2 linked regions of the Mus musculus genome follow. The protein of the gene in region 2 interacts with the protein of the main gene of each other region in a pairwise test. Links are inferred from orthologs where the notes say so. Each region holds a gene or a part of one and is shown on either strand. Other genes may lie near its edges.

What was found.
Region 1: the proteins of Rnf135 (region 2) and Ctnnal1 interact in binary tests that used the Homo sapiens proteins (3 or more experiments, as listed by UniProt). The two-hybrid records come from large-scale screens. The link is inferred for Mus musculus from reciprocal best matches to the Homo sapiens genes RNF135 and CTNNAL1.

Annotation. Positions count from the first base shown.
Region 1 is NC_000070.6:56,833,988-56,837,803, reverse strand, and holds part of Ctnnal1 (alpha-catulin), read left to right. Parts: coding exon 1-72; intron 73-2,425; coding exon 2,426-2,626; intron 2,627-3,816. UniProt on the Homo sapiens protein: May modulate the Rho pathway signaling by providing a scaffold for the Lbc Rho guanine nucleotide exchange factor (ARHGEF1).
Region 2 is NC_000077.6:80,182,287-80,186,829, forward strand, and holds the start of Rnf135 (E3 ubiquitin-protein ligase RNF135), read left to right. Parts: upstream 1-1,582; 5' UTR 1,583-1,630; coding exon 1,631-1,969; intron 1,970-4,543.

The sequences.
Region 1 (3,816 bases), on a different chromosome or scaffold from region 2:
ACTGACTGCAGACTCAGCGGAGAGACCGACAGCTCATCTGTCAGCATTTTTACTGGGATTAAAGAGTTGAAGGTAAGAATAAAGAGTAGGTTTGGCTTGTTTTCCTTTCTCATTGAAGGGAGCATCATTATGTATAGTATTCTGTGTAATGATTTAGAGTGGTTCATCTTGGGGCTGGAGGGATGGCTCAGTGGTTGAGAGTGCTGGATGCTTTCAAAGAGTGTCAAAGTTATGTTCCTAGTACCTATATCAGTTGGCTCACAATTGCATGTAACCCCAGGGAATCTGACATACTCTTAGTTTCCCTGGTACCCATACTCAGGTGCCCCTCCCCCTCCTGCACCATACACATAATTTAAAAAGAGATTAGAGTAGCACGTCACAGAAAGCAATGCATCTCAAGGGGTGAAGGATGGCTCGGTGGTTGAGAGCATGGGCTGCTCTTGCAGAGCATTTGCTATCACCCCCATGGCAGCTCACAGCTGCCTGAAACTCCAGTTCCAGGCCATCTGATGCCGTATTTGGCCTCCGTATTTGGCCTCCACAGGCACATGGTACACATATGTACATATAGGCAAATCACTTATACACATATTTAAAAAAAAAAAGTCAAACATATTTCTTTAATGTAATGCCACTCTGGAAAACCCAACAGTGAGCAATACGGGCTCAGGATTGTGTTGACAGACAACACAGGTCTTTGCTGACAGCAGCAGCCCTGCACAGCTCTTGGTTTAGATAGATTCCTCTGTGTAGAACCATCTGTGATGCTTCTGAGCAGCATACGGTCTCTTCTGGGACCCTGCTCTTCCTGGGTGATAGGGTCCACACATCGAAGCTGAGCAATAGCACCAACATTATAGCTCTACAGTAAATTCTACTGACATTTGGAGTGCTCGCTCTGTGCCAGTTTTGTGCTTTCAGAGTGTGGACTCCTGGAATCCGCACAGGAACCGTTGCTATTCTCTTCCGGGTGCCGTTAGGGAGACCGAGAGACAGAGATGAGATGGCCTTGCTGCCTCAGTACCAGAGCTGAGATCTGATGCCAGGAAGTCTGACCTCTCATCAGGAGGGCCCTACGGCACTATCTAGTACAGTGCCCTTATTTTCAAGATGGGAAAACCAAGGCCCTGCAAAGTTACCTAATTATGCTAAGGGTTTCGTACCCATTAAAAAGCAGGGCTAAGATGGTCATCATTTTCTTTCTGTCTCACTGCACCTTGACCTTGTATGAAGACTGAGATCAGAAGAGGGACTGAAAGAAAGCAGTGGAGCAAATTGTTCTCTTTGCTGACCATTGCCTGAGGAGGTGCTCCCACCATTGGACCCAGCAATGTTGCTCAGGCTGATCTCAAACTGCAATCCTCCTGCCTCAGCCTTATAACTGCTGGCATTACAGGCATGGAACACTATGCCTGCCTTGATACCAGTTTCTTTCTTTCTTTCTTTCTTTCTTTCTTTCTTTCTTTCTTTCTTTCTTTCTTTTTTTTTTTTTTTGGTTTTTCGAGACAGGGTTTCTTTGTGTAGATCTGGCTGTCCTGGAACTCACTCTGTAGACCAGGCTGGCCTCGAACTCAGAAATCCGCCTGCCTCTGCCTCCTGAGTGCTGGGATTAAAGGCGTGCACCACCACGCTGGGCACCAGTTTCTTTTTGATGGAGAAAGTAATCTGTAGAGAGAAATTTAATACTTTCTTCTGTTCTTCACTTATTGTAAATAAGTAGATATGTCTATGTAAACAGCTTAATAGCCTTAAAATGGTCAGTATAACTTCATTAAGTTGCTGTTTAAACATACACATACAAACATATACACACACATACATGCACACACACACACATGCACACACACACACATACATGCACACACACATACATGCACACACACATACATGCACACACACACACCCACACACACACACACACACACACATACACATTGGGTCTAAACCAAAAAATAATAAATGATGTGAATTGTACATGATTAACTTTTAGGTTTCAATTATTTAAAATCTCAGTCATCATTGCCTGTTTCTTACTTACCATCCATATCATTTTAAAAGATTTTATTATTACATTCAGCGCACTTTCCCATTTGAGTGCAAACCTCCTTGGGATTTTGCCCTGAGCAATTTCTTTATTGGCAGAGGCTGGTTTGTTGTTTGTATTCAGTTCTACACACTAGCAATTTTTATGCCTTAGTATGATCTCCTGGGAAGGTCATTATATTAACAGTTCTTGAAACAAGGCCTTGCATAGCCACTGCTGACTCCTGAACAAAGTGCCCTCCCAGCTGCCTGGAGATGATAGTGACCATTGGGTGCAGCTGCAGTCTTCCTAAGACTTGCCAGCACGTCTCAGGACATGGTTAGGACTTGTAGCCCATTTTAGGGATACTCACATGGATGCGTGGCCTTTTGCTCTCAGGTGAATATTGAAGCTCTTCGGGAGAATGTTTGCTTTGAGTCCAAAGAGAACCTTTCTGCCGCATTGGAGGCCGTCTTGGAGCATGTGGAGGACTTCACTGATTCTGCCTACACCAGCCACGAGCACAGGGAACGGATCTTGGAGCTGTCTTCTCAGGCGAGGACAGAGCTGCAGCAGCTCCTTTCCGTGTGGATGCAAACCGTAAGAGCTGTGCTCCTTAGAGGAAATCTTAGGCAGTAGATTTCCACCTAATGATCAGAGAGGGGTGGAAGGACTATGAATTGGGTCAGTGCATGACAAGCATGCCTTATCCCTTGATGCCATTCCAGTGGGCGAAACTTACGGCACACGCTGTGTTCAGGCTGCTCATTCTCCTTTTGGCCAGGCTGCAGTCTGTGCCATCCCCACCATCTATAGTTTCCCTCTTCTCCCCATTCTTCTGCCAAACTCACTTCTGGAAAATTCCTCTCCCAAATCTTCTTTAGTGAGGAGAGTAGAGGATGAACCTTTTGGAGGTCCTCGAGACATGCGTTTGCTGCTGGTGCTATTCTGCTGTGCACTGTTTAACTCCAAGCACAGCTGATTTACAGACTTGCTTTAGAATGCTCATTGAGGTCTAGATGAATGAAGATCAGGGTAGACCCCGATGGCGAATAAAAGTCTAGCACTTTCAGACTCCTGCACTACAGCAGCCAGCAGCCACTTAAGAGGCCTGGGTAGATTACTCTCAATATGGGAGACTGCTCAAGGAGGGTGGGTGAAAGCTACAGAGGTGTTACAACACAGGAAGTTTGTCCCAAGTCTTTGTTGTTGTTGTTGTTGTTGTTTTTGTTTTTGTTTTTTTTTTTGAGACAGGGTTTCTCTGTGTAGCCCTGGCTATCCTGGAACTCACTTTGTAGACCAGGCTGGTCTCAAACTCAGAAGTCCACCTGCTTCTGCCTCCCAAGTGCTGGGATTAAAGGCGTGCACTACCACTGCCCAGCTGTCCTAAGTCTTATAGCAGTAGATTGCAGAAAGGGGGTTGGGGGACAGAGGTCCAAGGCATGTTTTGGCACCTTATATAAAGAGTAGAGAGAAAGCTCAGGTTTGGGGGATATTTCCTACAGTACACATTATCTGGGAGTCCTGCCCTATCATGGGATAAGAGTTGTGAGCAGTGCTTTGCCTTTGGATTCTGTATGTGCCCTGTAGTATGAAGAGGAGATTGCTTTAGTGATGACTCCTAAGCTCAACACAGAATACTAAGTTTCTTGTGATGAAATACTCAGGTTGGAGATGCGATTTTATTACTACCAGCTCCACATCTCACACTGCACACATCCCAGAGCTCTCGGCTCCTGTGTCTGTGTGCTACAAGTGTTCCCTCTCACTTCTCCTACAGTTGCGACTGA
Region 2 (4,543 bases):
CTTAATGTAGCCCTGAGTGTTCTGGAACTCACTCTGTAGATCAGGCTGGCCTCAAACTTAACAGAGATCTGTCTGTCTGCCTCCTGAGTGCTGGGATTACAGATGTGTGCCTTCATGCCTGATGAGGTCCTCTGAATTTACTGATTTTTTTTTAATTCCCCGGTCAGAGAAGCTGCAATACAAATTCTGGATGTGTCTCTCCAGAGTGCAGCTCCCTGGGGAGGTGGATCCTCTCTAGCTTCTAAAGTTCTTTGGACCTGACTGCTGAGGTACCTGCTAGAGCAGTGATTCTCAATGAGTGGGTCATAACACCTTTGGCAAACTCCTATATTCACATGACTATTCATAACAGTTGCAAAATTACAGTTGTGAAGTAGCAAGAAAATTATTTTTTAAAGATTTGTTCATTTATTTTATGTATATGAGTACACTGTAGCTGTCTTCAGACATACCAGATCCCATTACAGATGGTTGTGAGCCACCATGTGGTTGCTGAGTACTGAATTCAGGACCTCTGGAAGAGTAGTTGGTTATTTTTTTTTTAAAGATTTATTTATTTATTATATGTAAGTAAACTGCAGCTATCTTCAGACACACCAGAAGAAGGCATCAGATCCCATTATGGATGGTTGTGAGCCACCCTGTGGTTGCTGGGCATTGAACTCGGGACTTTGGAAGAGCAATCAGTGCTCTTAACTGCTGAGCCATCTCTCCAGCCCTGATTTACTTATTTTTTTTTCTTTTTCCATTTTTTTTTTTTTTTGGTTTTGTTTTGTTTTGTTTTTCGAGACAGGGTTTCTCTGTATAGCCCTGGCTGTCCTGGAACTCACTTTGTAGACCAGGCTGGCCTCGAACTCAGAAATCCGCCTGCCTTAAAGGCGTGCTCCACCACGCCTGGCTTCCAATTTTTTGTTAGGTATTTTCTTCATTTACATTTCAAATGCTATCCCGAAAGTCTCCTATACCCTCCCCCCAGATTTACTTATTTTTAAGAAGAGCAAATAAAGACTGAGGCTGTCTTTTTTTTTTTTTTTTTTTTTTTTAATTAATTATATGTAAGTACACTGTAGCTGTCTTCAGACACACCTGAAGAGGGCATCAGATCTCATTACGGGTGGTTGTGAGCCACCATGTGGTTGCTGGGATTTGAACTTCAGACCTTCGGAAGAGCAGTTGGGTGCTCTTACCCACTGAACCATCTCACCAGCCCCTGAGGCTGTCTTTTAATGTCATTTAATGCATATGAGTACACTGTAGCTGTCTTCGGACACACCAGAAGAGGGCATTAGATCCCATTTTTGTTGCTACTTCATAACTGTAATTTTGATACTCTTATGATTCTAAAATGAGTTCCTGAAGCGGACCTTCTTCATAGCTTAAGTTGTTGGGGTTGCGTGTTTGTGGCTAGGCGAGCAGGACCCAACTACTAGAGAGAGATGATTTTTCCAGGCCAAAATCCAGGCAGGTAGCCAGCAATGTCCGGCGCTTTTAGAGGCTGGGGAGAATTAGCAGCTGGGCGGGTCGAGCTGATGGGAGGGGCGGGGCGAGCTGATGGACAAGGCGAAGTGTTGCCGGGGAAGTTAGTAGGACAAGGCGGAACCTAAGGGTGCTTCCTGGCTGTCGCCTAATTATGGCGGCCGTTTGTTCTGGCAATGCAGTCCCCGTGTGGCTGAGCGAGGACGACCTGAGCTGCATTATCTGCCAAGGGCTACTAGACCAGCCCACCACGCTGCCCTGTGGCCACAGCTTCTGTCTCCGGTGCCTCCATGACCTGTGGGTCTCGAAGCGTGGGGCCGTGGATGGCTGCCCTTGGGCTTGCCCCATATGTCGGAAGGGTCCCTTGACAAAGCCCAAGCTGCACAAGAACCCGCTGCTGCAAGACCTGGTGGACAAGTACCTCCAAGCGGCGCGGGAGGTCGAGGCTGGCTCGGAGCCTGAACCCGCCCCCGCGCCGCGTTCTGCGCCCCAGGTAGGAAGCCTGCACCGGACTTCCAGATCTCTTTTTCTGCCACAAAATTTGCTCAGTCTAATCTGTTTTCTGGAGAACCTTAAAAAGTTTATAGCTGTATAAAGAAATACAAAAGCCCAATGTGGTGGCCCCATGCCTGCAATTCCCCGTTTTGGAGTGGCTTGCCCCACAGGGCCAGAGTTACATAGTAAGATCCCATCACAAACAGTTAAAAATCCAAGTCCCATCCACCCGAGGTGTGGTGCACACTTGTATAGTTTTAGTTTTTCCCAGCCTTCTGTGATGTCTGGAGATTCTTAGTGTGGTAGAATGTATGTGCCACAAAAATTGCCATTTTCCCCCTTAACTCAATTGGCCTATTTGTATATTTATTGAGACAGGGTCTAACTAGACTAGACTAGGATGGCATTGAACCTGGGGTGACTCCCTCGGCTTTCCAAGTCTGGGATTACAGGTGTGGGCCACTTGAACTCAAAACTTTGCCTGCTTCTGCTTTTCAAGAGCTGGGATCAAACACAGGTGCCACGACTGGCCATCTGAACAATTTTTTAGTGTACAGTTCGATGGCATCTCTCTTATTTCCAATACTGTGCTTCTGTCACCGCTGTTGCCAAGGTAATTTCATCAACTTAAAAAAGACCTCTGTACCCACTCACTAAGCAATAACACCTGATTCCTGTCCCTCCAGCCTCTCTGTATCTCATCTCTCATAAGCTTTATGTCTGAGTTTACCTGTTATATTAGGTCAGAAAGCGACGCACTGAGACCACCACTCCCATTCAAAGGCAAGAGTGTTTTTTGTTTGAAGAAAGCAAGAACCCTGCATGCAGGGGCCAGCCACTTATAAAAATGGTGACCCCAGACAAAGGGGCACAAGGCATCCATGGGAAACTAGAGGAATTTTATCAAACATTAGGTAATCTAAAACTTCATTAGTGGGTGCTGGGGAAGTTACATGGGTTGGTTTCTGATTAGCTGCTATGTTAGATTTACTATACTTGGGGAGGCCTTGAGGAAATCCCAGGAGATGACTCAGCTCTGAGCTTCCAGAGCCATTGATTATTAACAGCCCATTGTCTCAATCTGCTTCCCTGGGAAACTGAAACTTTTCTACTTCCAAGGTTTTTATTTCATTTTATTTTTTAGGGGACCTCTCATTATACATGTTTCATGTAAATGGGCCCCTTTGTGTCTAACTACTTTCAGTTTCATATTTTCAGGGCTGCTTGATGTTTCAGCATGTATCAGATCATCATTGCTTTGTGTGGCTGTTTTATCATCTCTGTGGATATGTAAGACCCCCGAAGCTGTGCCTCCCCTCAAGTCCTGGGATGAGCTGGCCAGCACGTCAATGACTTGAGAGAAATCCACACCTGATGCAAACTGCAAGAGGTTTTATTATCAGCTAGCTGAGGATGAACTCCTCAACGCCCTGCAGGGCAGGAGAGTTCGACCCTGAGCAGTAACAGTAGGGGGCTTTTAACAGCTAGCTGAGGAATTGGGAGGAGTTGGGAGGAGAGTTGGCTACAGCTCCTTTCTGGTGTGTGTGTGTGTGTGTGTGTGTGTGTGTGTGTGTGAGCTGTAGCTCCTTTATCTCTGTGTCCTTGTATGTCTTCCTACAATTATCGAATCTCTGGCTGTAAGGCACAGAAACAAAAGGGCTTTTTACTGGCTATAAAGAACAAAGAGCTTCTTTCTGGCTGTATTTTTAGAGATCAGGGAAAACAAGCTTGGGGAACGTCCAGGGGCTTTACCTTCTAGGGAGAAACGCTCTAAGTCGGGGTCCCACAGATATATATCACTTTCCAATCAATGTATCTAGCTATGAACATTTGAATCCTTCCCATCTTTTGGCTAGTATGACTACTAATACAATGTACATTATCTTATAACTGTAGTAGTATGTAAAAGTATGTTTGGGGGCTGGAGAGATGGCTCAGTGGTTAAGAGCACTTAGTGCTCTTCCAGAGGACCTGGGTTCAAGTCCCATCACCCACATGACACCTCACAACTGTCTGTAACTCTTGTTCCAGGGGATCCAACACCCTTACATAGACATACATGTAGTCAAAACACCAATGTACATAAAATAAAAATAAGTAAATTTTTTTGTTTGTTTTTGTTTTTTCGAGACAAGGTTTTTCTATATAACCCTGGCTGTCCTGGAACTCTGTAGACCAGGTTGGCCTCGAATTCAGAAATCCGCCTGCCTCTGCCTCCCAAGTGCTGGGATTAAAGGCATGCGCCACCACGCCCAGCTCACTTATTTTTTTATATAGTGTTAGGATAAGACTCTAAATTTGCTGGGTGGTCGTGGCACACGCCTTTAATCCCAGCACTTGAGCGGCAGAGGCAGGCAGATTTCTGAGTTTGAGGTCAGCCTGGTCTACAGAGTAAGTTCCAGGACAGCCAGGGCTATATAGAGAAACCCTGTCTCAAAAAAAAAAAATTCTAAGTTTAAGCAAGGCCTGGTAGTGTTAGGGTTAGAATTGCTGAAGAATGATACCCCAGACTCAAGTAGTATGCAAAAGTATAGAGTGTTTATTGAAAAAATTCCTGCATGCTGGGTCCCAA